Struthio camelus: one gene and its partner. The protein of the gene in region 1 binds, or shares a complex with, the protein of each later gene. Links are inferred from orthologs where the notes say so. Each region holds a gene or a part of one and is shown in the gene's direction. Other genes may lie near its edges. The genes, in order: S100A10 and ANXA2.

What was found.
Region 2: the proteins of S100A10 (region 1) and ANXA2 are in contact, whole or in part, in a crystal structure (PDB 4FTG), measured with the Homo sapiens proteins. The link is inferred for Struthio camelus from reciprocal best matches to the Homo sapiens genes S100A10 and ANXA2. Residues at the interface, in NP_002957.1 of Homo sapiens: Phe39, Gly41, Phe42, Asn45, Gln46, Ala51, Lys54, Ile55, Leu79, Ala82, Cys83, Tyr86, Phe87, Met91; in NP_001002857.1 of Homo sapiens: Val4, Glu6, Ile7, Leu8, Lys10, Leu11, Ser12, Leu13.

What each region holds. Positions count from the first base shown.
Region 1 is NC_090971.1:401,399-415,739, reverse strand, and holds S100A10 (protein S100-A10), read left to right. Parts: upstream 1-7,510; 5' UTR 7,511-7,539; coding exon 7,540-7,716; intron 7,717-8,151; coding exon 8,152-8,295; intron 8,296-8,569; coding exon 8,570-8,731; 3' UTR 8,732-8,834; downstream 8,835-14,341. Other genes in the region: acyl-coenzyme A thioesterase THEM4-like, read left to right, coding at 12,826-12,901, 13,280-13,458, 13,613-13,772. UniProt on the Homo sapiens protein: Because S100A10 induces the dimerization of ANXA2/p36, it may function as a regulator of protein phosphorylation in that the ANXA2 monomer is the preferred target (in vitro) of tyrosine-specific kinase.
Region 2 is NC_090953.1:19,868,175-19,883,194, reverse strand, and holds the start of ANXA2 (annexin A2), read left to right. Parts: upstream 1-8,522; 5' UTR 8,523-9,078; intron 9,079-9,720; exon of another isoform or gene 9,721-9,777; intron 9,778-14,112; 5' UTR 14,113-14,124; coding exon 14,125-14,172; intron 14,173-15,020. UniProt on the Homo sapiens protein: Calcium-regulated membrane-binding protein whose affinity for calcium is greatly enhanced by anionic phospholipids. It binds two calcium ions with high affinity. May be involved in heat-stress response.

The sequences.
Region 1 (14,341 bases):
CTAGACAAATTATTTGTAACCCCATGAGGACAAACCAGATGTAAAAATAGTCCTATCAGCTGTTTTGAGGTGGGATTTTTTTTGATGTGTAGATTTGGTTGGGGAGTGAAGGTTTTTTTGTTTTTTTGTTTTTTTTTAAATGCAGAAAGTGCTTTTCACATCAATTAATTCCCTCTTCTAATTCCTACCACCAAGTGGCAAAGCCAGGAATCTCGTAAAAACTACAACCCTGATTTCACATGCCGATCTAATGCCCTCCCCCTGACCCGCTTCTCAGCGAATGCGAGCCCATGTAGACAACAGCTGGTTTTCACAGCCCAACTGCGCACCAAGCCTCTCCACGCATCGGAGTCCCATGCTCCCAGACACACGTGCGTCAGGGTGCCCCAGGAACAGACCCCTGTAAAAAGAGATCTCTCTGGTTACTGCTGGCATCTGAACGCTCTCCCACAATGCTTCAGCCACAAGCAGAGCCTGAGAGGCACAAACAGACCACCACCACCACCACCAGGTGGGAGTTCAGCCTGAGCTACCGCACACAGAAACACAGGGGGAGAAAAGAAGAAAACAGTACAGAAAATATTGAAGTGGGCTGTAAAGAAAGAATAGGAGAGTCCTCAGCCAGGCAAGTACCCAGTGGGCCATAACAACAGCATAAAAGCAGCCCAGGGTTAACTCAGGCTGCTGCCAAGGGCCAAGCAGCCACCAGCGTTCACCCAAGCGCTAGACTCACTTGACACGGACACAGGCCAAGTTTATGGGAGCACTGACAGTTCCAGAGCTGGTTAAAAGCTATGTTGTGCACACTGCTCAAAGAGAAAAAAACAGCTTAGCCAGCATCAGGGCCAGACACCAACTTGAAGTAGAAAAGAAATCAAAACCATGTTGAAGAAACCAGAAATAGTACCTTTTCTTGAGAGGGAACTCCAATCAGTGCTGAGCTGGAGCTATTCAACCACCACCGTGCGCTCTCCCTGAGCCTTCCCTACATAAATACGTAACAACACGTGACACAACGCTCAAGCCATGGAAACCGAAATGCAGGCGTTATGACCAACGTCACAGTCAGTCAGTGGCAGGGCCTGACAGATCCTGGCCGCCCACGCCAACGATCAGAGCCCTGGACCACGCTCAACAGCTTATCAGGAGGACAGTACACACTGCCCAGCTGACTTTATCAATATGCCTGTTTCCATCAGCAAAAAGACACCTGAGCAGGATTACTCAGCCCTCCCCCATTCAGAATTACCCACTATTTGACTACAGCAAAGCTTCCCAAACTTTTTCAAGTCCAGAAAGTCAGGCCAACCACAACCCCGTTACCACAGGCTGTTAAAACGTCCATCAATCTCGAGATACAAATCTGAACATATAGCAAGCTTGGTCTCTGTGCACCGCATAGAGGACTGAGCCTCTTCTCCCCCTACCTGTCCCAACGGAAATACTGTCCCAAGTTCCACGAATTCTTGTACTAGCCTTCACTCCAATTCTAGAAGGCAAAGAAAGCAACTGCTTTGCACTGTTGTAGCCAGACTCTTTTTTAGCAACCCCCTTATCAGTTCTGCTTGAAAACTCTACTACCCTCCTAAATCAAGGCTCTTATTTTAAGAGGGTTTAGGGCTCATCCAGTATGAAACACTGTCCACGTCACTGGGCTACACTCATTTGACACCAAGGCAGTCGCTCATCACTCAAAGCAGAAGTCAGCAAAAGGCAGAACGTTATCACTTATGCTAGCAGTTCCTTACAGGAAGACGAGAGGGATGGGTGAATCATGAGCATACTAGAAAAAAAATACATATACAAAAACCAACCTTACTGAGAAGCTCTTCTTGTCTTGTTTATATCCGTTCCGGTACGGCAATTTGAACACAGTGGCCAAACAAGAATTCTTAAGAAGTCTTCTATCCCCTTTTTTCCTTGACTTTTTAAATAAACTACCCAATAAAACTGCTTAAGCTCCTACAAAGAGTTTCACATATGGCTCTTATATCAGGGAAGCCTAACTTCCAAATTCAGAGTTCAATGTTAAAGCTGGTAGACTTGCCAGAAGCCACCCAAGAGATTTTTTTCTAACAACTCTGATGCCTAAACCTTCTTTTTTCCTACTTCACCCTAAAATAATTTATTGACATGGGGGAGGAGGAAGAGGAAGGTCCAGAACCAATCTTGCACTCTCTAGGTCATTTCTTTTAAAGACACCATTTTTGAAGAATTCGACTGTTTCTTTCTTACCAGCAGCACTTTATGCCACCCTCACAAACCAAGGAGATGGGCAGGCTGTTCAGAATATTTTAAATCTAAGTTTGCTTTCTTAATACAACACCTTTTTCCAGAAACTGAATTGGGTTAAGTTAGAAACCTTAATATAAAAGCCAAGAGAAGGTAATCTGAACTAGGTTACTTTAAAATTCAGCCCATACCTTCTCCTTCATGATTTACTCACAATTACAACTTTTAGTGCTTGTCTTCTCTCCACCAGCTCCTTAACACTAGTCTTATCTCCCAGGAGAGAGCCTTCTCTGAAAGCTGGGCCTGGAGATGGAGCGGTAAGCTGGTCTGTCACACAGCTAGCAGCTCTTCCAGCTTCTCCACTCTCAGTTCCCAAATTGTACAGCTGCGCTGTCCTACATTTGCATTAAATACTAAAAATAAAAACTCTGACTCTCCCAGAAATTAAAGCTCCCAAAATATGTAACTAAATCATCAAAATAGGGTTTTCTGAAGCTAGAAGGCAGTTAACGTTTCATTGCTTGCTCCTAAACTCTGCTCGCTTCCGTCCTCCCTTTTATTATCACATGCTGCACCAGCTCGGCAGCTCCCGCACGCCGGTGCGTGCGCGGCTCTGCTCCTGCCTTCCCTCCTCCTCCCTGGCCAGGCAAATTTGGCCTCCTCTGAAGGTGGGGAACGCCCAGCTTTTTAAGTGTCTTGGTCGAAAGTCCAGCAAGTGCTGCTCAGGGACAAACCTTTCCTCCCCCACAAGTCAATCTGCCTTTCCCTTCCCTCCCCTCCCCCCTAAAAAAAAATACAAGGAAAAGCCACAAATCCGGGGGGTTTGGGGAGCGGGCAGAGGGCGGCCTCTCCCAGCAGCGCCTTCCCCCCGCGCCCGGCGGGAAGGGCCGCCCGGGGGGCTCCGGCAGGAGGAGGGAGGGCGGCGGCTCGGCCGCCGGCGAGAGCACAGCGGCCCCCTTAGGCCCCCATGCCCGAGGGCCGGGCCGAGGCCTCTCCTGCTCCGGTGCCGGGCGGCCCGACCGAGCTGAAGGGGGAGGCGGCCTGGGCCTCTGCCCTCACCCCCGCTGGGACCCGCCGAGGCCTCCCCTACGCCGCCCCCGCCATGCCCGCCGGCTCGGCCCCCTGCTCCGCTATCCGGGCCGCGGCCCCGGCCCCGCCGGCGCTGCCGGGCTGCCCGGGCTGGAGGGCGCCGCGGCCTCCCTCACTCCCGCCTCAGGCTCGGCGCCGCCATGTTGGCTCCGTCCGCTCCTCTCCCCGCTCGCAGGCGGCCGCCGCGGCTCCGGCGCGACGCAACATCCGGGCCCCCTGGCTCCGCCCCCCCTCGCGCGCCAGGGCCCCGCCCACATCCGGGCCCCCGCTCACCTCTCTCCGCCTTCACGCCCATTGGGAAAGCTGGGGAGCCAGGCGCCCTCTTGGTTAAGGGCAGGCGGGCGGGCTCATCCGGGTCACCGGTGGCCGGCTTCAGCGCCCCTCAGAAGCATAGGGGAGCGCCGCCATGTCGGGTGAGGGCAAGCTGGCAAGCTGCCGGCCGGCCTCCCCGCCGTTAAGGGCACGTCGGGGTGCGGGCGCCATGTCGGGTGAGGGCGCTCGGGGACCCTCTGGGCGCGGCTTCGCGCCCGTTGCAGAGCATGAGGGAGCGCCGCCATCTTGCCTGGGGGCAGAGTGGCAGGAGGGAAGCGCTGGCAGTGCAGGGTGGGGAGGCCTGGGGAGGGGGGTCCCTGGAGGGGGGGCTGGGGGGGCTGGAGGCTCCCTGGTGGATGGGAGGGTCTGGCAGGGGAGGTCCCTTGAGGGCTGGGGGGACCCTGGGGACAGGGCTCGCCCCTCTCTCAGCCCCCATGGGTGCTGGGGAGCCCTTGCCCCCGGCCCAGCCCGCCCCCCTCCACCTCAGGGCGCTTTGGGGAAGGGGGGGGTCACCCCCACCTCCGGGTGGGGAAACTGAGGCAGGAAATGGGCACCCCCCCCGTTCTCACGTGGCACAAGTTTGGGGGGCTCAGCCCCAGGGGTCCCTGTGCCCCCCGGAGGGCGAGCAGGTGGGTTTGGGTGCCCCCCGGGTGCCCTTCCGCCACCCCAGCGGCTCCACGCGGATTCACCCCACTACGTAAGCCGCCCTGTGCGCCGGCTGGCTGGGAGAAGGACGCCCCGGGGTGCTGCGGGGGCGGCGCAGCGGCTCCCGGGCTCCCTGCCACCCAAAGCCGTCGCCCCGGGGCCCTGAACCCTGTGCCTGGGCTCGTTACCCAATTAGTCCTAATTACCCCCACGTGCAAGGCGCTGTGGGAGCCCTGTGAGGCCGGGAAAGGTCCCCTGGGGGGAGGAAGGGAACCCCAGTGCAGGGTGGGGGGGTCATGAGCTGCCCCGTTCTCTGCTGCAGGCCTTGGCATGCTGGGGCTCAGCAGCTGCCAGTGTGGGTGTGATGAGCTGTCCCGTTCTCTGCTGTGGGCTGGGGAGGGGTCCTCTGCGGTGGGCAAGGGCCAGGACAGCAGGGGGCTGGGGGTGATACTGGGAACAGGGCAGGGGGTGCAGCCTGGGGGACAGGGACACTGGGGGTAGACAGACAGATGGACGGGGGCATGGTTGGATCGAAGGGTAAACGGAGGGAGGGAGGGAGGGAGGGACAGACAGAGGGTTAAGTGGATGGGTAGGTGGATGAACGGATGGACAGAAGGATGGACAGGCAGGTGGATAAGTGGACGGATGGATGGGTATGGATGAATGCCTGGATGGAAGGATGGATGGATGGATGGACAGATATGTGGATGGGTGGGTGTGTGGTCAAGTGGATGAGTGGGTGGGCGGATGGACGGATAAGTGGCTGGGCAGATGGATGGGTCGATTGGTGGTTGAATAGGTGGGCGGGTGGATGAATGGATGGATGTGCAAGTGCGGGTGGGTGCCTGGATGGACAGACAGATGGCTGGATGGATGGTACATGCATGGATGGGTGCATGGCTGGGTGAACAGACGAATGGCAGGACGGATGGATGGTATGTGCATGGACGGGTGCTTGGCTGGGTGGACAGATGGGTGGATGAATGGATGGATGGTACGTGCATGGTTGAGTGGACGGATGGTAGACGAACGGATGGATGGTATGTGCATGGCTGGGTGCATGGATGGATGGCAAGATGGATGGATGGTAAGTGCATGGACAGGTGAATGGCCGGGTGGACAGATGGATGGCAGGATGGTTGGAGGGTACGTGCATGGACAGGTGCATGGACAGATGGATGGTACATGCATGGCTGGGTGCATGGCTGGAGGGCAGGGCAGATGGATGGTACGTGCATGGCCAGATGGATGGCAGGATGGATGGAGGGTACATGCATGGCCGGGTGCATGGCTGGAGGGCAGGGCGGACGGATGGTATGTGCATGGATGGGTGAGCGGCCAGGTGAACAGATGGATGGCAGGATGGATGGAGGGTACGTGCATGGACGGGTGCATGGCCAGGTGGATGGCACGTGCATGGCTGGGTGGACGGATGGGTGGATGGGCGAATGGTACGTGCATGGCTGGGTGGGTGGCCGGAGGGCAGGGTGGACGGATGATACGTGCGTGGGTGGGTGAGCGGCCAGGTGAACAGATAGATGGCAGGATGGATGGATGGTACGTGCGTGGCCAGGTGGCCGGCTGGGTGGCTGGGCGGACCCATGGTACACGCGTGGCCGGGTGCGTGGCCGGGTGGAGGGTACATGCATGGCTGGGTGGACGGATGGTACGCGCATGGGTGGGTGAGCGGCCAGGTGAACAGATGGATGGCAGGATGGATGGAGGGTACGTGCGTGGCCGGGTGCATGGACAGACGGCAGGCCGGAGGGCAGGGCGGACAGACGGACAGTGCGAGGAGAGGGGCGGGGGGAGCGGCTGGCCGGAGGCGGGCTGGGCTGGCGGCTCCGGGCGGGGGGCGGAGGAGGCGCCCGGGGCCGAAGGGCGGCGGCGGCGGCGGGGGGGGGCCGGGCCGGGCGGGGGGCGGCGGCGGGCGCTGAGTCAGCGGGGCCGCCCCGCACCGCCCCCGGCAGCCCGCACCGCGCCCGGGCGCCGCCACTGCCCCGCTCCGCTCCGCGCCGCGCCGCGCCGCTCCGTGAGTACCGGCCCCGGCGGGGGGGACCCCCGGGCGCCGCCCCCTCGGCGGGGACCCCGATCCCGGCCCGCCCTTGCGGGGAACGCGTTGCTGCCCCCCCCTTAGAGGGGACCCCCAATCCTGCCCCCCTTCAAAGTGGGACACCCCCTCCTCCCCGGGCATGACCCCCCTCGGAGGGGCCCCCCCGCTCCGGCCCCCCTCCGGAGGGGAACCCCACCAGCCGTGGTCCGATGGGGGGGGCCCAATCCTGCCCCACCTTCAGAGGGGGCCCCCCCTCGGTACGCCTCCGTTAGAGGGGGACCCCGATTGCGCTCCCCATTTGAGGCGACCCCCAGATATGCCCCCCCCGGGCAGGGGACCCCAAACTTGCCCCTTCTTAAAGGGGGACCCCCCCAGGAATGCCCCCGGGAGGGGGAGACCCCAATTCTGCCCCCCGTTAGAGGGGCACCCCAGGCTGGCCCCCCAGTACAAGGGGACCCTGATCCTGCACCCCTATTAGAGGGGGGGACCCCAATCCTGCCCCCAAAGCGGGACTCCCAGAAACGGCCACCCGGGGGGGCCCCCCCAGGCATATCCCCGCGAGAGGGGGACCCCGGCGCCCCCCCAGCTTGGGCACACGGGGGCCGGGACGACGCCGGGGAGCACCCGCCTCCCTGGGGCTCCCTGCACCCCGTGCTGGCACCCTCGCGCCCCCAGCGTTTGGGCCCCCCCGCAGGGGTGGGGTGGGGCGGGGGGGGATTTAGGGCATATTTCGCGTTCGCAGCGAGGCCCCAGCACCCGCCACGGCGGGGAGCAGGGGCGCGGGCGCTGCGCCGTCCGGTGGGGGGGGGACAAAGTCCCGGCCAAGCACCCGAAGCGGGGGGCGGCGGGCTGGGGGCACCCCCGGGCGGCTGCCCAGGCGGCCCCCGTGCCGCCCCGGGGCCGGCCGGCCCGTCGCCCGCGGCTGGCGGCTCCGGCCAGTTTTCCGAGCCACGGGCACCGGAGCGGGGCCAGTTCCTGTTTTCCTTCCCAGGGAGCTTCTCCGAAAGCAGATGGCGCGGCCGGCGCTGGGTGCGGCGGGGCCGCCGTCCCCCCCGGCCGCGACGCCGGCCTTGGCCCGGGCCCCGACACTTTTGCTCGCGTTGCAGCCGGGAGGGGAAACTGAGGCAGGCGGGAGGGCGGGCGGGAACCAGGAGTCCTGGCGCTGACCGCGCAGGAAGCGGTCCCGCGGGAGCGGGTGTGCCCCGCGCATGGCTTGCATCAGCCCCAGACCTCTGCCAGGCCCCGGTTTCCTTTCCCGAAATGTGCCGCAGGGAGCGGGGCAGGGCAGGACGCCTGGGCCCCCGCCCGGGTTTGCGGGGAGGGGCTGGCGGTGGGAGCTGCCAGGATGGTCGTCCCTAGCCGCATCGGGGCGAAGCTGGAGGCAGGTTTGCTGCTGGGTGCCTCTGCGGGGACCCTGCGGTCCGGGGCCGGGATGGGGAAACTGAGGCACGGAGCGCTTTGCATCCTCCATGGTGCCGCGTGCCCGAAGCGCCTCCCCGGCGTGACTCAGTTTCCCCACGCTGGGATGCCCCGCAGCAGGGTGGGGGCACTTGCAGGGCATCCCCCCCCCCCCCCCCCGTCCTGGCCGGGATGCCGGGACTGGAGCTGAGTCATTGCCTGCTCGCAGGGTGGAAAACACCAGGGCGGGCACCCCCCACACGTGCACCGAGCGGCGGCGGCCTCTGTGGGGAGCGTGCCAGCCCGCCCTGCTCCGGGCAAAGGTCTCGGAGCCAGACGGGGCGCGGGCTGGCGGCGGGCCCCGCGGCGGGTTTCCGTGGGGCTGGGGGGCTGGCGGCTGACGGCGCGCCCCATGTCCGCAGCCCCGCGCCGCCATGCCGTCCCAGATGGAGCACGCCATGGAGACCCTCATGTTCACCTTCCACAAGTACGCGGGCGACAAGAACTACCTGGCCAAGGAGGACCTGCGGGTGCTCATGGAGAAGGAGTTTCCCGGCTTCCTGGAGGTGAGGCCGGACCCCCGCCCACCCCCCGGCGTAGTGCCAGGGTCAGACCCCGCCACGGCGCGGTGCCGAACCCCTCCTGGCACGGTGCCACCATTGGACCCCCCCGTGGCGCGGGGCGGGGGTCGGACTCCCCCCAACACCGCACTGGCCTCCGACCCCTCAACGTGCCGGGCCGCGGGAGGCACCCCTGTGACCTGCCTGCCGCAGCCCCGACGCCAGGGTGAGGGCCCCGGCCCCCTCCCCCCTAACCGCCCTGCTCTCTCCGTCCCCCCAGAACCAGAAGGACCCCATGGCCCTGGATAAAATCATGAAGGACCTGGACCAGTGCCGCGACGGCAAGGTCGGCTTCCAGAGCTTCTTCTCGCTGGTGGCCGGGCTCACCATCGCCTGCAACGACTACTTCGTGGTGCACATGAAGCAGAAGGGGAAGAAGTGAGGGGGCCGGGAGCTGGGGCCGGCGCCCCAGGGGGCTCCTGCGCCCGGCACCCTCTTCCCCCGCTCGCCCCCAATAAAGTTGCCCAGTTGCGGTGTGTTTTCTACGATGCTGGAGGGGTCTTTTCCCTTGGGGCTGCCGTCCCTGTGTGGTCACCCTGGGGTCCCTGTCACCCCCCCGGGTGTGGATGTGGTGTCCCTGGGCGGTCCCTGCTTGGGGACACCTCACTCCCTGGTGGGTGCAAATGCACATCCGTGCACACACTGACACGCACGCCAGTGTGTTCAGGTGTGCGTGCACACACGCGTGTGCACACCCATGTGCACAGGCGTGCACATTGTGCAGACGTGTTCACACATGTAAGTATGCAATCACCCCAGTGTATGTGTGCCTGCAGGCACACACTTGCACAGCTAGGGACACGCACGCATGCATGCACATGCCACACACGTCCATGCACACGTGTGCACCCACACTTGTGACTGTGCACTTGCATGCACACACATGCCGACACGTGCATGCATTCACATGCACATGCATTCACATGCACTCACATGCATGTGCATGCATTCAGCCAGATGCATGTGCGTGCCTGCATACATGCGCACCCGTGTTCACAGACACATGCATACACAGATGCACACTCACCCATGCACACACACATGCGTGCCCATGCACACACATAGACACGTGCATATGTGCAAGGTCACTGGCATGCAGCGGACCCAGGCATCCCTGCCCTGCTGGGCCGTGGGGCGCCTGGGCCGGCGCCCCGAGGCCCCACTGCCCGCGGCGGCGCCTGGCTTCGGTGATTCAGCGTGTTTGGCCCAAACAGCGGTGGTTGCTGCAGCGACGGGGCTGGCTGGGCTGCGCATGAGTCACCCCTGCCTCCCCCCGGCCCCGCCACCACCCACGGGTGCCAGAGCAGCAGATGCTTCAGCAGCCCAGCAGCAACGCAGCCCAGGGGTGCTGGAGCTGGGGAAGGGGAGCCCAGAGCTGAAGGGTGCTGGAGCTGAAGGGTGCTGGAGCTGGGGAAGGGGGGCCCGGAACCGATGGGTGCTGGAGCCTAGGAGCGACGGAGTGGGGGGGAGGGGAGTGCTCAGAGCTGGTGGGTGCCAGAGCCAATGGGTGCCAGAGCTGGTGCCCCCAGACCAAGGGGTGTCGACATCCCCCAGCCAGGGATGTGCAAGGCGGTGTGCAGGGGGCAGGGGTGCAGATGGACGAGAGATGTACAGGGCTGTATAGGCCCATGTCTGGGGGTGTTCAGAGGCTGTATAGACATCTGTAAGGACTGTGCAGGGGTGTACAGCAGTGTATAGGGGCTGTACAGGGTTCTATAGGGGTACATAAGTGTGTACACGGCTGGTAAAGAGCTGAGCAGGGGTGTCTAGGGGGGTCTATAGGTGCCACAGAAAATTGTAGAGGTGTATAGGACCTGTACAGGGCTGTTCAGAGGTGTATAGGGGGCCTATAGGTGCTATAGAGAACCATAGAGTAGTGTGTAGGGGTGTGCAGGGCCTGTACAGGGCTTTGCAGGGTGTAAAGAGCTCTATAGGGGTGTGTATAGCTGTATGGATTTTTGTGGGGCCTTGTAGGTGTGTATGGGGCATATAGAGTGTGTAGGGGTGTATAAGGCCCACATAGGGCTTTGCAGAGTGTAAAGAGGTCTCTAGGGGTATATAGGGGCTATACAAGTCAGTGTGTGCTGTATGGGGTTTACAGCTTTTTCTAGGAGTGTATAAGGGTGTATAGGTCCCACACAGGGCTGTTTGGGTTGCATGGGATATATATGGATATATAGGGCTTGTGCAGGACTTTGCAGGGTGTGTAGGGGTATAGAGATGTATATAGGGGTATGAAGAGTTGTACAGGGGCTGTAGGGAGCTGTGCAGAGTGTATAGGGGTGTTTAGGCACATATGGGATTCATGCAGCGCTGTGCAGAGTGTATGGGGTGAATAGGGCTGTATGAGGTTCACACAGGAATGTATAGGGATCTATAGGGGTGTTTAGGGCCTGCACAGGGCTGAGCGGGTTGCATAGGTAGCTACAGTTGTGCGTAGGGGTGTATAGGGCTCATACAGGGCCTCTACAGGGTCTCTAGGGGTCCCTAGGGGTGAAAGGCCCACACAGGTCTGTAGGGGGTCTATAGGGGTGTATAAGACCCATAGACAGCTGTGCAGGGTGTATGAGGGGGTATAGGGTTGTGCAGGGCCCATACTGGGCTGTGCAGTGTGTATAGGGCTATATAGGGATTCCTAGGGTTGTATAGGGCCTGTACAGGGCTGTGCCGGGTGTAGGATATAAGGGACATACAGGGCTATGCAGGGGTGTATAGGGGTGTATAGGGGTCTACAGCATTGTGTAGTGATGTAGAGCATTCATAGGGACACAAAGGTGCTCTGAGGGCTGTATAGGGCCTATACAAGGCTGTGCGAGGTGTATAGGTGTATATGGAGTTGTTTAGAGCCTGAGCAGGGCTATATGGGTTGTATAGGGTTGTATAGGCCCGTATAGGGCTGGATATGGGTGTACAGGGCTCACATAGGGATGTATGGGGTGTACAGGGATGTATGGGGGTGTACAGGGTCTCTAGGGGGCTATAGGGCCTGTAAAGGCCAGGCTATAGGGCCTGTAAAGGCCTTAGGGTTCCTAAGGGTTGTATGGGGACGTGTAGGGGTTTATAGGTGCTGTAGGGAGCTGTGCAGGATGTACAGGCCCCCTACAAGGCTGTGTATAGGGCCCGGACAGGGCTGGGCGGAGATGCATAGGGCTGTATAGGGCTCTTACAGGGCTGTGCAGGGTTTTATAGGGGTCCATCGCGTTTTTTTGGCCCACGGAGTTTTTTTGGGCTGGCACAGGGCTGTATAGGGGTCTGTGGTGTACACAGGGGTCTATAGATGCCCGCACAGGGCCCTATGGGGCAGCCTACAGGGGTCCACGGGGCTGTAGCGGGGTCTACAGGTGTCCGGAGGGGTGTGCCGGGGTGTAGAGGGGCCCACAGGGGCGCCCATAGGTGCCCACAGGGCTCCATAGGGCTCCATAGGGGCGCCGAGGGCTCCGCAGGGCCCCGCCGCCGCCCCGGCAACGGCGCGCGCGGCCCCGCCCCTCGGGCGCGCGGGGCGGGCAGTGGGCGTGCCCTCGCCGTCACGCACGTCACGGGGCGGGCGCGTGACGTCAGGACGCTCCGGCGCGGCGCTGGAAGCGGTGCCTCGGGGTGAGGAAGGGGAGCGCGGGGCGGGGTCGAAGGTCACGGGAAGGTCACGGGGGAGGGGGCGGGGGCGGGGCGAGCGCCCCCTCGGCGCTGGGGGGGCCCGGGAGGGGTCGAAGGTCACCGGGGGTCGAAGGTCACCCGGGGGGGGACCCGGCTGCCACCGGCGAGACGTGGGCACTGGACCGTTCACTGACGGAGTGACGTCACCTCCAGGGCCCAGCGAGCGCAAGTGACATCACTGCCAGCAGTGACGTCGGCACCAGGCCCAGCTGACGGGGGGACGTCACGGCCAGGCCCCCAGAACCAGGAGCGCCATCACCGCCTGTCGTCCGCGAGCAGGAGCGACGTCACCGCCCCGGCGTGACATCGCCGCCCCGGCGTGACATCACCACCCCGGCGTGACATCGCCGCCCCGGCGTGACATCGGCGGCGGCCCGGAGGGAGCCATGTGGAGGCGGTGCGGGGCACTGGGGCAGGTGCTGGCCCCCCGCCGGCAGCCCGGCCTGGCTCCCGGGGCCGCGAGGGGCTGGGGGGCGCCGGGGCCCAGCCCCCCCGCCCGCCCCTGCCCGCCCCGGGGCGCCGCGGTGAGTGCTGCCGCCCGGGGGCTGCGCGTCGGGCCCGGGTCGCCCCCGCTCACCGCGCCCGGGGGCGAGCGCGACAGCGGCCGCGTCCCGCCGCGCGGGGAGGTCGCGGCGTCCCCTGTGTCCCTCGGCTCCGGCGCGGTGGCAGCTCACAAGGGCGCACGTGGGATAAAGGTCCCTCGGAGGCCGAACGGGCCCGGGGGGCTTCTCCCGGCCCCGGCTGCCGGGCTGGTGCTGCCCCGGCGCTGGTGACGTTCGGAGCCCTCGGTGGCGGGGACGGGCACTCCACCGTCAGCCGGGCGCCATGTGGGCGCCGCGCTGGCAGAAACACCCGGGCTGCGCAACTGTGAATCAATCTCTGGGCTTAAATCCCCCTGGAGGTAACTCCTGCTCGGAGCAGGGCGGCTGAAACATCCCAAACTGGCTGCTCGGTCAGAAAAACCCTTGTGCCAGTGTCAGGGCTCCCCTGGGGTTGGATCGATGCGAAAAGCCACTGTGAGCAGCGGTGGACTGTGAGCAGCGGTTGATCTCTGTTCCCCGCCCCAGGTGGTTTCACAACCCCTGTTAGTAACAGCGGTGGTTTCACAACCGCTGTTAGTAACAGCGAGGCTTGGCTCGTTCAGCATGGGGATAAATCCTCTCTTTGTTCAGGAGAATTGCTGCTTTCGTGAAGCTGTTGCATGTTTCTCACTGGGTACAGTGACTAAGAGGGCAGAAACAATAGTTTTCCCCCCCACACACCTCAGGGAATGCTTGAAATTGTTTCCTGTTTAGTTCATCCGTCAAAGACTCTGCCAGGCTGTCACGAAAACAACTTTCACCTGGCAGGATTCATGGGCGGGGAGGCTTGTTCTGCCTCGCACATATCTCGGAAAACCTCCTTAACTCTTTGGCAGAGGAATTGCAGCTCCGGCCAAAGCAGGCGGGGGAGCTAAAGGTGAATTGATGGTGGTTAAAACGTGCAGTGCTGGGTTCTGCTGTCGAAAGCACAACCAGGAGCAGAGCTGCTCCTTATAGACTAGGTGCGGGGAGCGTGTGCGAAGGGATCGGGGGCGTAGCTGCTCACTGTGCGCCTCTCCCGATCTATCCAGGCCCTGTACTCGCAGCTGGGCCAGCCGAAGGATTACGCCCTGCCCAATGCCAGCTGGAGCCAGGACATGCTGGACTTGTACAACAGGTTCCTGGAGATGACCAAGGACGGGCTGTGGAAGAGGATTCCCTCCTACAACAACATCCTCGATCATATCCCAGGCAAGGCCCTTTGGTGTCTCCTGCCGCATGCCGCTGCCGTGTGTCACCAGCTCACGGCACGACCCGGCGAGTGACACTTTGCTTCTGCCATGCTCACGTGCTTCCCGGGCCTCTTCCTGGCCACAGTTGGCCCTTGCCTGGCTCTAAAACATCCCCGATGGTAGCTCTGGTGTCTTGGGAAGCTCGAGATACCATCCTTGTAGTTGTCACCTGGCAGCTGTGACCGTGGAGCATCTGTTGGGACTGGCACCAGAGGGCGTGTTGAATTAGACCCTCAGCCTTCCCCTGTCAGGGCAGAGCCTGTTAGGGTGACATTAGAGCTCCCTGGAAACAGCAGCAGGGCGTAGTTTGGGCCAAAACAACCTCTGTTCCCTGCGGTCTGTGCCATGGTGTTGGTCTGCTGTTCCCCACAGGCATTCCTCTCTTCTGCTGGTGCCCTGCAAGCAGCTTGTGCCCTTTGCAGTGCCAGGAAAACAGGAATTTAAATCAGTTTAAAAATCAGCACCCACAGATCCCTCCCTCCTGGGTTTCCCTGCATCTGGGCTCATGGCTGCAATTTTCATGGATTT
Region 2 (15,020 bases), on another chromosome or scaffold:
GAGCGCATTACATTGATATGAGTGGCTGTGGGGAAAGAGAAACTAGGAAGTCAATAGAGCTGTCATTGTAGCCTTTTTTTTTTTTTTTAATAACGAGCAATAGATTTATATGCAGGTGTATGAATAAATAAGTTTGTCTCCTGCCTCCTCCAGGGAAGATACACATCTCACATGGTACTTCATCGTATTTATCAAAAGAATGCATTGTCTTGCAGCTGTAAAAGATTTCCCCTCCGCCCAAATAGATTGACAAGATAAAATACTGTACAAATTTCTTTGGCTTTTAAATACCAAATAATTTCTTGTGGCTTCATGTTACTCTGTGCACGCACACATGTCGAACTGTGCCTTGGATTTTGGGTTCTAGCTTTTCTATTTCTGTAAAAAAACTATCCTGAAGGCTTTTTTTGGTGCAGCTCCCAACTCCACAGGAAGGAAGACAGCTGTCTGTCTCTCCATGTTAGCTAGTCTTGCAGTCTCTTTCTCTGCTGCTTTAAACTCAATTATTCCATACAGACTAGGAAGGTTGCTGGTTATTGATATATTAATGACTTCCTGGACAGTAGTCATATCAGGAAAGTAAGCCTTAGTGTTGAAGACCTGTTTAGAAACCATCTTTATTTTTTCTATCACTACAGCCTTTCCCTTCATCTCCTTAAGGTTGTAGAGCTGTTCCCTTTGGGAGCACTAGCCACTAGCATGCAGGACACAGCAGTAAAAATTGTTCAGCTCCTCTGAAAGCATTTATTGGAGGCTTATGTGAAAGCAAATATTAATGAAACTGTTAATCATTACATGTGCTCATGCACAGTAAAACTACAAGCTACTGATACGTTTTTCTAATCCTTTAAAGGCAGAAGTATCTGGTTTTAGAATTCAAGTGTGTGCTTCTGACCTGGAAAAGCAAGTCTTAGCCTGCCTAGCAGAAATGAATCTCTTCATAACTGCCATTCCCTCTCACTGAATCAACTTTTTTTTTTTTTTAATTAAGTTACTTTGCCTTAAATGTGGTCCACAGTTATATATAAGATGCTACTTGAAAGACCGAAAAAGACATCAGTGTACCTAGTCAGATTTAATCAAGAAAGCTACCGTTTTTGAATTTGTGACATTCCTTTATGTCACAAGACATCATTTGTTCCCCAGCTAGTGCAGCAAAGGCTGACCCTAATTAGGTAGTGAAGTTCTGGTTGTGTAAGAACTAGCTCAAAATCCTAAGTGTTCTGTGCTATTCTGTACTTAAACAGAATTGATTTATTTAAACCTTCCAACTTTCCTGCTATTTCAAAGACTTGTTAATTTTAACTGAGATTTACAGGTGTGTTCCATATTGCTGTAGTAATATTATGCAGATTTTGGTCAGTGAACTTTAACTGGAAGGTGATTTTATATTGTAATTAATTTTCACGGTCCATTTCAAAGGTTGCATGTTGTTAACTAAAAAGGAGCAATTCTTTGCAGAATGCTACAATTTTGGCATAGGAATACACTGTTTAAGGATTGTTGAGAATTTGTTTTAAGATGGTGCCTAATTAGGCTCCTTGAAACTTTCAGAATTGTTCCCTAAGTTCTTGGGAACTTACTTAAGGTGAGACAGCCTCCCCTTTGTTTTGGCAGAGGCCAGAAGTTTACCCAAAACATGGGGCTGTTTATGTCAGGGATGTGGAAAAAACATAGAATAGTGGGAGACAGTAGAACAGGGCGGACCTGATTTTAAATGAAACCTTTTAACCCTCTTCCTAGGAAAAACTCCCCTGAGGATTTTTGGCAGCTTCCCTTTTATAGCTGGTTCTACGCCTTTAGCAAGAGAGACCAAGCTCTGTAGTGATTATTGATGCTGTTTTGTTCCTGATGATGTCAGGGACTCTGCGTGCGCCAGTAATGTTTCCTACAGTGTGTTGGCGGTCTGGGGAATGCTATTGTAGAGCTGGCAGCTATGATCACTTTAAGTACTGTGTCATCTAAATGGGTTCAAAATCTCTCTTAACGCTGTAATATACTGGTAGTCTGTGTATATACTGCCAGTGTTATGCTGATACTGCTGGGAGAGCTGAACTCACCGTAGCGGTTTTGTGAGGTGTGTTTTTTTAACCTATTAATGCATGTAGGACCACAGACAGGTTGGTATTTAGTTTCAGGTGGAACTGCAGCTCTCCAGCCCCTGAGTAGACTAAATTGTGATTGAAGTTACTCGTCGTAAGCTGAAAATAGAAAATGAAGTTGAATAGAAGTGATATCTGAGCTACGCTTTACAGCCATTGTGGTATCAGAGATTGCGTGCTCTTAGGATAAAAAGGCAATTGGTTATCAAGCAGAGCATCAGGAAATCCCTTTAGGATTAAGAAAATTCACTGAAACGTGGTTACACACGCAGCGACTGTTTGTTTGTACGTCCTGTGGCTGTTTCATTCACTGCAAAGATGCTGAGTGTGTTCATGCTGCTGATACCAGTGCAAGGAATTTGGCAAGCGTGTTTCACTTCTGTTTGTGTATGTCTCTAGGCAACCTCTCATAGTCAGACACCAGATTATTACTTCCCTCCTGTGCACTGAAACACCATGATTCTAGTGGTTAGCATTTTAGTTTAGAAAACAAAGCTTGAGTATTTCTGGATGGTATAAATACTTGTGATAAATGTGTGCCAGAGCAGTTTTATATATATATATATATATATATATATATATATGTACATACATATATATATATACACACACACATACACACACACACACTAAAGAACAGAAAAGTATCTGAATTGCTTGGTTATCATTTGTTCATGATACATATCCCTCACTGAGTCTCTCTTTGCCGCATGAGTATGCATACCTCTGACTTAGCTGTTGGCTGGCAGGAAAATGCGATAGCCTGGATTTGGTCACAGGATACCTGAAGTTGCTGGCCCATCTTGAAGACCAATTTGTATTATTTGTATCAGCTAGGTCAGAGTAATGAAGAATTACTTCCTTTTGAACATTGTGACTGGAGCGTAGATGATTCCATGCTGTTTTCTGTTAACAGCGGACAGCTGGCGCAATGAGATTTCACCACAGTCATTCAACCTTGATGTGTTCTTTGGCTTTTGGTGGTGACTTTAACTAGACTGTATATGTGCCCTGAAACAGCTTTTTTATCATTAGCTTGTGTGCATACTTGAAGGAGTTCCTTTCTGAATGAATCCTCTTAATTACAGTTTCAGCTGGTATTCTGCTTTCGTACTCCCTTTTCTTGAAGCAGATCTGTTATCACCCAGACTTCTTGTTCTTGATCTTCGCCTTGATCTAGGCGAGCTCCCTGTTGCCCATAGACTTAGGGTGATCCACCGAGGTTGTAAGATTTAAGGATAAGAACGACGGTGTAATTTCCGCCAGTGACAGGGAAAGTCATTGGAAGGAAAGCGGAGTTCAAGCTATGTTATGGTCAAACACAAGAGGAAGTCTCAGAGAAGGGATGATGAGCAGCAGATGGAAGTGAATTTGCAAGTATACAGAGTAGAAAAGTAATTGAAAGTAAGTCCAGTGCTAAAAGGGTATTGGAAGGTAAGAGGAGACTTTTGGAAGTCACAAGCAAGACACAACCTTGGTATGGTGAGAGAAGTAGATGTTTTACTACCCATTAAAAGTTTTTGCTGTCAGGTCCGAATGCAATGTATAAAGCACTTTATGATTCTGCGTGAGAGGCCAACTGTAAACCATAAAACCTGGCTCCTCATCTTCAGTTAGTGATTGCTAAAATACATACTTTTTCATGCATGTGTGCATGTTCATTAGCAGGTGCAACACTTAAGCTTTGCCCTGAAGAGTTAACAGTCAAAATATACAAGTTGCAGACTGGTTAAGTGAGAAGGCAGTGATTTGACTGAGATCACCCAGCAAACCGTGGCACTGCAAGGCATACAATCCAGGTTTCCTCTTTCTAAGCACACCACCTGCCCCTGTGCCCAGGGAGAACTTCTGTGATACGAACTGAATACTACCTTCACTACTTACTTACTATAATGCTTCATTTGTAAAATACATGTATAACAAAATATGTGCAATATGTCTAATACACAAGATCATTCCAGAGAAAAGTCTAGCTCTTATTTAAAAGGGTTTGTCTCAAGTAACTGAATGTTAAGCGTGGAATGACGTGTACAGGAACGTGCATGTATTTGTAGAAATTACATTGCACAGAATGGAGTTGATCCCAGGGATTAGCTTGTTAGGTGGAACACTTAAGAGGTCTGGTTTTCTGGTACTTTGTTAGATAAAAGATGGCTTTGGTATGCAATGTATATTTGAAAACATACAGCAGAATTACAATTCTGTAAAACTTCAGGTAAATTGTAGCAGGTGTTAGTGAAAAATGTTGCATCACTTTGAACGTTTACAGACTTTTACTAATACAGTCTAGTGAGCAGTATCTTTCAGCAGTATTTCTTTGTGCCTAGCTATAGATATAACCTTGCGAGGTTATTATCCTGGGAACCTGGGTGGCTATATATTATTAACTTTCTTTATAACCTGTGATCATTTTAATTGCCAGTAACAAATCCCCATACTGTTCAACTGCATTTCTGAGACAGTCTTTGCTTCTGCCTTTCCAGATCTAATGTTTTGGTTCTGCCCCCAAGATGGCTTGGACTCAGCTCCACCTTCTGATCCATTGATTCATCTACTCGGCAGATCTATCACTACTTTCATTGTACATGGGGGCTACTACAGTAGCTTTGTTTATATCATTGGAGTTTCCAAATTAGACCAAATAACCAAGGTGCAAAAATAATACCCAGAGGCCTGCCTGATCATACTTAAGCAAAATTGTGTTTATATTATACTCTCACAATACACTCAGTGAAGCAACATTGTACATACAGGCTCAGCCACATCTAAACCAGAAAGTCCTTTGAGTCCTTTCTCCTGCTCTTTTTTTTTTTTTTTTGGGGCATTGAAGAAAAAAGTTTAAGTAGCCAATAAATATGGACAGAATTGTGGCCTTCCTAACTACAATGTAAATCCATCATTGATTCTTTGTAGCAAGCATCCTGAAAGAGTATAAGCAAGATCTGTGTAGATGATGGAGCCAAATAATCAGGGACCAAAGTGAGAAAGAGTAGAGATCTTTTGAGAGCCGGAGTGACCCCATTTCCATTAATGTAATTACAGAGAGAATGCTTGGGTCAGAAGGAGAGCTTAAATTGAATGCTCAAGTTAAACACATCAGGTCTCTAATAGTACAACACGCTAAGGTGATAATGACAAGAAAAGCTAAAGGTGTTGGTGAGATGGGAGAGCTTAGGTGTATTAAATTGAGAGTAAACAAAGAGAAAACTAGTATCAATCAATATTAAACAGGAACAAGACAATAGCAGAGTCGGTGGTGATAACGTCACTGAGAAGACGGAGTAAATGGACCTAGAGGCATGCACTGAAGACTGTGGGATGAACCACATTCGCAGGAAGCTGCCGGAAGGGAGGAATGAGAAATCAGCACAACTGCATCTGTTTTCCCATCCTCGGGACTCTGGGGAGCTCCATTTGACAAAAGTGCTCACTCTCTCTGATGTTTGCGGTCAGCATGTGGGAAGCGGGAGCTCACGTGTAAGTAACTGCAGCTGAAGAAGTTGCAGGTTGTTTGACCTTCTATGCAGATATTTTAAGGGGTTGTGGAGACTAAGCAATGTGAGAGCAAACTGAAAACCTTTCTGGGCACTGCCTTGCCTGCAAGCCAGTTGCAGCATGTTTCTCATCTACGAGGAAGGTGCAGAGACATCCTGGGCTCATGATAACCGCAGGCCTGGTCCCAGCTTTTCGCTAATGGTAGTTACTCTGATGCCGTGCTCGGGAGTGGTGGTCATGGATGAGAACCCATTGTGATAGGTGCTCTACACATCCTCTAAGCTTTGGTTAAATCTTCAAAAATAACCCACGTGACTTAAACGTATAATTTTTAGAAGTGATTCAGGCGCTTGGCTGCTGTGCTTCTACTGAATTAATTTCCTCTCTGGCAGATAGCAGAAGTCTTTTCTGTTTGCACAGTCTGGCTGCTGCCTTCTTCAGCTCGTGGGTGTTGCAGTGTTTTTTTCCTCAACAATATGAAGAATGTGTAGTATTTCCATGGGCAAGATCACCAGGCCTTGGTATTAGGACGTGTTTGGTTGTTCTGCCAGAAGCGTTAATGGCTTTTCTGCTGTTCGTGCCACTCAGATTCCTTCACTGGTACTAGTGCTTTGATGTCAGCTGGGCTCAATAAGCAGAGACCAAAAGAGGGAATTCATCATATGTTTTAATATATTTTTCATGTCTTCATGACTATGAATACAGTTAGTATTTTTTTCTCCTTTCTCTCTCTCTCTCTTTTATCACTTCCACAGTCCCTGGTTTAACTTCAGAGAGGCTGTTGAATCCCTGTCTGTCTATTTTAAACCGAAGACTTTCACTGAGGTGAATGTGGGATTCTCGGATTGAATAACTGATGGTTAAGTCAGGTATTAGAGACAACATCTTGATTCCCTTTCTGGGAGTTGTTGGAAATGCTGGAAAAATCTTTTTATGATGTAGTTAATGTAGATATAAGAATTCATTTGATATCAAAGGTTTTGCAAAATGTTCATGTTAAGATCTAGTTAACTAAAATCCAAGGTGGTATATGAGCTACGCAATTTCAAACTTTAAGTAGTATTGAGTTATTAGAAAGAGAACAGTCTTCTAAGGAAATGGGTTTTGTATTGTCATTGGAACAGACTACAGTAAAGCATTGAAAGGTAAATGGACCTTCAGTTACAAGAGTGAAGGTGCTCGTCTCTGAGATTGAATGAACTCAGTATATGGCTCAGCGTTTTTATACGACAGTGCAACATACATGCTGCATCTTGGTAATATGTTGCATATGTGGAAACTTTATTTTTCTTTAAGCTCAGCATATTCTGGGGATGCTTCCACTGCTTTGCTTTGAGAACGTTTGGAAAGAGATGAGGGAAGAAATCATCCCTGAGAGATCGTGCAGCCGTTAGTAGGCAAGCTGGCTCTCTGGCTTCTCGGATATTTATCTCTATTTAAACCCCCTGTGAATATTGCAATACAGAACAGCTGTTACTTCTAGGACTGCAAGTATTTTTGATCTGTAATCACCTTTCCAAGTCTTTGGTGATTTTTCTAAGAAACCTGAAAAGCAGGGGGAAATTATCTGTTTAATTAAGTAGTTAGTGGCAGACACTGGTATAACTGGAATACCCAGGAATTAATTTTTAAAAACAGATTCAGTAATACACAGAAATAACCCCAGTGGCCCTGCCAAAAAGAAAACTAGCATGTTAAACTAATGCACCACTGTCACTGATGTCCGGTCAGTTTGACAGGATGCTGTGCCGTGACACGCTTTTCCTGTGGCCATCCTCTTCATCTCATTTTGGTTTATTCGGAAAAGGGCTATTAAAATCATTTTCTCCTGCTGCAATGACGGGTTCATCCCTCTGCTCTCTTTTGCTTTCATGTGATGTTCAAAGTCCAGTGTAATAATATTTCTTCCTTTTTGATCTGTGATCTTGTTTTATCCCAACAGTTACTCCGTGTCTCAGCCCGCGTTCCTGTGTCTGTGTTGTGCATGCTTGCTTTTTCCACCCCTGGTTTTATGCTCCTGGTCAAGCGTAAAACTTTCTTGCCCTCTCTCTGCCAGAAGACCCCTCTATCTTAAAGCCTGAAAAAAAAATCCTTTGTAGCAGAGGCAAATATCTCCTTGCATAAGCAGATCCGCTCTGTGGTGGCATTCCCCAGATGACGGCCTGAATGACTGCCTAATGGTCACCAGTCAATTGGCCACTTCATTGTGGTGAAACAGTAAGCTGAGGTGATCCAAACAGAGATCTTTTGCATCTTGGCTGCTTTTGGCTTCTTTACTGGATCTTGCTTTTGTGACGGTGTGGTGTATGGGCTCAGATAACTAGTGAGAGTGGCAGAGGCACTTCTTTCTTTTTTTTCTCTCCTTGCTGTGGTATGCTTGTTAGTTCAGTTATGCTCAGATAATCCTTCGGGCTTTATCTTTGCCGAGCTTGGGGCAGAAGTAGTGCCGCCTTCTTCTCATGTTTATTGCTTGCAGCACATGTGATTTACACTTCTTGCAGCTGAAAAGTACTGGGATTTACACACCAAAGAGATCTTAATTTTTTCAATATTGTTGGTCTAAAGCAGGCTTGGCCAGAGCTGCAGGCAGTGAGGACGGCGCTTTGCTGATTGCTAGAGGCCAGAGCAGGAGAGCGCAAGCCAGGCAGGGATGACTCGGTCGCAGTGAGTGCCCTGCTCCGGGGAAATCTGGGGTGACGTGTCCAGGCCTCGGCTCCGCGCGGCGCAGCTGTCCCCAGCCCGCCTGGGAAGGAGAAGCTGTTTCCTGAGCAAGAGCCCAAGTCCTGCCACAGCGGTGTGGTTTTGGGCAACCCAAAGTACAGGCTGCAGTGACGCAAACCGCTGTCGCGGCAGCACAGGGGACAGAGCAGGAGTTAGGGTGAAGTGTGGGTGGGCTGCCCTCCCCTCCCTTTCCCTGGGGCCCCGGGCAGCTCCTCGGGGGGAGGGCGGCGAGGAAGCGGGAGCTCCCAGGGGAGCTGGGCAGCCCCGGGGTGGAGGGGGGTGAGCGCAGGGTGCTGCGGGGCATGGGAGAGAGACCTCCCTGCCCTTCCCCACCCCATCACTGTCCCCCCCTCCCCTGCCCTTCCCCACCCCATCACTGCCCCTCCTCCTCCTCCTCCCCCCCTCCTCCCCTGCCCTTCCCCACCCCATCACTGCCCCTCCTCCTCCTCCCCCTGCCCTTCCCCACCCCATCACTGCCCCTCCTCCTCCTCCCCCTTCCCTTCCCCACCCCATCACTGCCCCCCTCCTCCCCCCCAACCCTTCCCCACCCCATCACCGCTCCCCTCTTCCTCCTCCTCCTCCTCCTCCTTCCCCACCCCATCACTGCCCCCCCTCCTCCGCCTGCGGGAGGCAGGCGCGGCCGGCGAGTCAGCGCCGCGCCGGGGCGGGGAAGCAGGGTCCTCCCGGCCCTACAAAACCCCGCCCGGGCCGCCGCCGAGCCCAGCCGCCGCCAGAGCCGCCGCCAGAGCTGCCTTGCCAGGTGAGACCCCGCCGGTGCCGGCAGCCGCCGCGCCGCGCCGGGCCGGGCCGGGCCGGGCCGGGGGTGCGGGCTGGAGCGGGGCCCCGGGTCGGGACAGCGCGGCGGCGGCCGGGGCCGGGCTGGGGGGCTGGAGCGGGGCGGCTGCTGCGGGCTCCCCTCCCTCCCTGCCTGCCTGCCGCCGCCGCCAGCCCCGCACCGCGGCCGCGCTCCGGAAAGAGGAGCCGCGCCCAAACTTCGCTGAACTTCCCCAAATAATCTCGTAATCGTCCCGGAGAAGGTGCGCAGGGGCCGCTCAGCGCTGGTGCCCGCAGCGAAAACGCACGGCTGGCCCCGGAGCCGGGCAGGGGCGCGCCCCCCCCCCCCCCCCCCCGGGCGGTGCCGGAGCCGCGCGGAGCGCCGCGGAGCCGCGCCCGCCGGGCGGGTCTCCCTGCCGCCCGGCCCCGCCGTGCGCGGCGTTGCGGGGCGCTCGGTGCCTTCTGGCCGTGAGTCAGCTCGGCCGCCGCTCCCCGCCGGCCGGGAGCGGGGCGGGGGCGGCAGGGCGGCTGCTGCGCGCTTTGGCTGGGAGAACAGTGAAGTGTTTTCGGGGTAGTCTGGCAGCAGTGAGCTGCTTTCTTACACGCGGCGCTTTTGATCCTTTCCCAGGTTAATCGTTCGTGCTCAAGTGCTGTCTCTTTGCACAAATATTTAGGTGCCCTACAGGTAAGCAAAAGAGTGAGGGAGTCTTTGGGAATTTCAGTGCTGTTGAGCTGTTCGTCTGTCTTCTTTCTGTTGGTGCAGCTAGCTACAATAAACGTCCCTAGTGGGTACCGTTTTCCATTAATGTATGGAATGGTTTTCCTTGATTTAAAAGCAGTCATGTGCTCCATCCCCATCGAGTCTCAGAAACAAGATAATGTTAATTCAGAGAAATAAAGATCCTCCAGTTTGCATATGCCTAGTATCTTCCCGCAGTGGAACATCTGCGGGGTTATTAGCAGCGTCTGTGGAAGAAACGGTTGAAAGAGATGCATTTTCCATAGTATTATTTTATGGTTTAAAGTAATTTTTTTGAGATCCTTTTCTTTAAAGCTACTTTTTTTCCTCCAAACAGCGACTTCAAAATGATCCGCTAAGCATTATGGTATAGTTGGGGGAGACAGTCTGGCGTATTTGTACTTGCAGTTACCACTGTGTATCAGTGAGTGTTTTGAGTCCTTGTTTTGCTCCCAGCAGCCGTTCTGGTCCTTCTTGGTTCTGCCTCCTCCCTGCTCTCCCTCTGTCTCCGCCGTGGCTGTGCCTCGCCCTAGTTTGGAGACCCGACACAAAGCTGCTCCCAGTGGAAGAGTTTCCGTTCTCTCATTCCGGGGATGCCGTTTCCTTGGCTCATGTGTCTGGGAACACCCTTTGTGCAATCTCTTGCCTACAGGAGCAGATTAAGTTCTTCTTAAAATGCTAACTCTGCTTATTGAGCAACCTAGTTGTTTGTTCATACCTGGCACTTTTTTCCGTTGGTTGATCTCATGGGATTTTTTTTTCTGCTCTAATATACCTGAGCTGCACCTGGGAATCATGGTATGGGGCTACTTTTGAACACACCTCTGTCCTCCAACTGTTACGAGGACAGGGTATTGAATATAGACTAGGCCCAGTCTAACAGGCTTGCAAGTCAGTGATTCCCCTTTGGGGAGGGGGAACTGGGCTTCAAAATGGATGTTAATCTCTTTTGTAGAGTAACATTGTGATTCAGAATTACACGGTATGGACTTACTTAGGAGGAAAAACTGGTTGTTGAAACTTGCCTGAAGGTATTGTAGTGCTAGTTTACAGCTGGAAAGTAGAAGTTGATCCTTTGCAGTGTAAGGAAGAACAAGTTAGTGCATGTATCTTCTATTTACATACACAAATCCAGCCAGAACTTGTCAAAACTGCGTCAGATAAAATCAGTCTATTAGAAAACAGTGAGAGTCTATTCACAAATATGAGAGCGTTACAAAGTCGAGCGTGACAAGAAATGCATTTGTTCTCTCAGTGAAGCTCTTTCTCTGCAGTTCCTTGCAAAAATTCCTGTTTTGCCAGCTAACAAGGGTGTGTTAGTTCTGTTCCTGGACTCGGGTCAAGTTTTCTGTTCCAACAAGCCTGATTCAATGTGGTTTTTATTTAATTTAGAAATAGGAGTCTTCCAAAAAGCTGTTCAGTGATTGCTTTGTGAAAGATTATGCTGCAATTGCCTTGAAAGATTATCCTGCAATTGCTTTGCTTCAGCTTTCACTGTGATGCATTTCAGTTCTTTGCGGCAAGTAAGAATAAAAAACGTACTCGTTGCAAGTTGTTTATCTCTGATATTGGTTGTAAAGATTTCAGAGTCTAAAGGTCTCATTGTTAGGCACTTCATTTTATTAAGAATAAACATTAAGAATTTCATAACTAAGTAATACATCATCCCCCTTTAACCAGCTCCGTTAATAGAGCCAAAAGCAGGCAGCACCTTATTACAACTCTGCTGCTTATCTTTAAAAGGTGAGGTTAGATTTTTGCTGTAAAAATACTTATTCTCAAATAATAGGTTGATATGGGAAGCTTTGTCTGTGCTTTTTACTCTCGTTTTCCTCCCTGGGTTCTTAATATTTCCTTAAGTGGAGTTACTTTTGTTACTCTTCCACCTGGATTGCACCAGAAGATGAAAGGTTTTCTTGCTGCGTTCTAAGTGAGGAAAGGTGTGATTACAACACTTATACTATAAAAGCATTTTTCTGCATTTCATTCTGAAAGGGGAATGTATAATATATACATTCTGTACATTATACATGTTCTCTGTGTGTGTGTATATTTTCTGTAATATATATAATATTTGCTAAGTTTTCTAAAAGTAAGGATTTTTCTGCTTTACCAGACATCCTATACAGCAATCTAGTTTATTTTTCTATTTTGTTAAAAATACTAATGGAACTCAGTCTCGGTTGTTAAAAAATAAGATTCCTCCATTTTCAAAATTAGAAATTAGATGAGAAATAAATCTAGTCCAGCTGTTTCTGTTGTTTCTGCCTTAAATTTGACTAACTCAAAAGAGGGGAGGAAAAAAATCATTACTTCAAAAAGCTGCAACCAGATATTTAAATGGGCAATATTTAGATGAATTGAAGTAGAGCGGGGAGAAAATTTGAATAAACAGTCTGTTTGCTCTGTAAGCAGTGAACACTTTAATAGCTGGACGAATATGTATAGAAAAGCACTTAAAAATGATGCTCAGAGCACATGAGAAGAACAGCATGCTTCATTTTAGTCTTTAAAACGTATGGTGCTGCAGTTCTTAAGTACTTTCATAATAATTACTTTTTCAACCATATAGTGCTGCTGTCATATCTACCAACCAAATCTTAATTTCATTTTACAGCTTTTGTATAAGCTCATTGTGTTCCTTAGTATCACTTTGGGACTTCAGTTTTCTCAGAATCCTTCTTGGCACTCCTGAGTGACGGAGTGGGCTTTTTTTTTTTAAACTTCAACTAGAGTACTTCTCTTGTAACTACTGTAAAAGGCTTGATGGAGAAAAAAGAAAGGTTTTTAGGAGCTAAAACAAAGAATAAACTCTTGCTTTAGATTTTTAACCAGATCTCCGCTGTTTAGAAACACTTGCAGGCTTGCTTCTTACTCTTCTCCTGTCAGCTCTTGGTTTCAGATCCCACTGTTAGGTGGTGAGAAGTGTGCTTTCTCCGTCTGGGAAACTTGCCAGAGCGGTTAGTACTACGTGCCCAAGAAGGCCCCAGCATCATCAGGAGAGTAACTGCAAGGGGATAAAGTGGAGTTTGAAAGCCCCTTGGCAGGACATAGGCAGGACTGGCTGGGTGGCCGTTGGGCCAGGGTCCCTAGGATGGACGGGGAGCTGGTGACGGCATCAGAGTGACGGGCAGAGAGAGCCCTGGGGAGCTTCTGCATCCTGGAATTTCGATTCCAGGCCCAGTTATGGGATGAAATGAGTATCGCTGATCCTGAGGTGTTGCCACTGTTTCTCTCCTACCTCTCCATGAGCTGACTCTTTCCCCTGTGTCTCCCCCTTCAGCAGAGGAATTTGGGAGCTGAGTTTTAGGAATGCATCAGGCAGCTTAAATGTTGCCTCTGGCTTATAACCTTGGGAAAAACATTTCTCCTTAGTTGAGAGACCCTTTCAGTAAAACAGTATTACAGCTCTGGCAAACTTCCCTGACCAGAAACCAGAGCTGGAAAAAAGCAGGGTGTTGTAACATAAGCACTTCACATCGATGTTCGTTTTTGCAATGTTTATGATTTCTCTAGTAGGGTTTTTTCTGTTTTATCTTTTATATATGTAGGCAAGATATTACTAACTTTCTGGCAATGGAGCAACATTGTTGATTATCATGTCTCATTGGCTATTCCTTTTGGAACTGTCGTTTTGAAAGAGTCCTTGTTACCTATCACCTGACAATCATATTATTAATCGGTATTTGTAGTGTGTCCTGTGATTCTTATTGCTGGGTACTGGGGAGCCACTACAGCACCATATCATATTAGAGGCATTTGTGGCCTGCGTCCAGTAGTAAAGATTGAACAGCAATAATGATTTTATAAAACGTCTGCATGAATATAAATAGTTTCAATGTATTCCTTGAGCACCCGAGGAATTTAGCCTCTGATTGAAGTGCTATTAGTTGGTGTTCCTTTTTGGCTTTGAGCTGAACCAGGCTGTCGTACTTCTCCGTGATTTTTGTGATACTGAGTTCAGGTTCAGTTGATTCTCTCTCTAAGATGGAGATTCTCCACTTTCTAAGTTTAAATATTTAAAATGCAGTACAAATGGTTTCTTAAGGAATGAAGATAAATTTTTCTTGTACAATAGACAGAAGCCCTCTCACTGTTGCATTATCAGTGATGCTGTGACTCGGACACTCTTAAATCAGTGTTCTTGTTTGGGATGATCAGTCTTACTGGGTTGCCCCAACTTCTCTAATGCAGTGGTTCAGGACCATTTAACATGCTATTATAATTGTAAATATATTTATTTAAGTCGTCTTGTTTTGCTTTTCTTTCTTCCCCCTCTAGCTTTCTTTCAAGATGTCTACAGTCCATGAAATTCTAAGCAAGCTTAGCCTTGAAGGAGATGTAAGTATTATTATTCAAACCAGAGTATTATATACTCTGTGTATAATATACTCAGTGTATAGTATTATTCAAACCATTTTCTCTCTCCTTTTTAAATGCCATATCTTGTTTCCTTTACAGGACTCTCTACTAACATTTGTACTGAGCTGTAGAGTGTATAACTTTCCACACATCTCTTCTACTTAAACTGATCTTGACTAAAAGCTTAGTCTACTGTGGTCAGTCTTCAGCCGTGAGGCAGCTGTGAAGCATGGGACAGTTAAGAGATGGCTAGATTTAATGGAAGTTCTGACTGAGCAGCAGCATGAGCAGTACTCGTGTACTGGGCCCTGTGAGAGAGATCACAGGGCAAACTGAGTAGGTAGTTCAGATCTGTGATCCCCATTTCTTCTGAAGGCACAAATGAGTTCAGGTTGGTTAGAGGAGATGGAAATGGAAATGTGTTTGCTTTTACTGACACCTTCCGAGTTCCACTTTTTTCGATTAAAAATGGAGATTATTAACTAATGAGGAGGACAGTATTGGGGATCTTATTCATGCACTTTTTTCACCAAAACCCAAGTACTTTCAGTGAAAACTATAAAATGAGAAAATAATTTTTTCAAGAGCTATTTTGAAAACCTGAAGAGTCTCCTTTTTGTTGGGGTATTTTCCACCACATTTACACTGTCTGATTTTTTTTTTTTATTGAAATTCCAGAAAGCCACACTCTCTTTGATTTCTCCTGTTGCAACATAACATGGTAGTGTTACCAGTGTAATGTCAACGTATTTGCTGTGAATTTGTGACTCTGATTTATCACTGAAGGGGAAGTGAATCCCTTTTGTGGTATCATCTCATCGTATTGC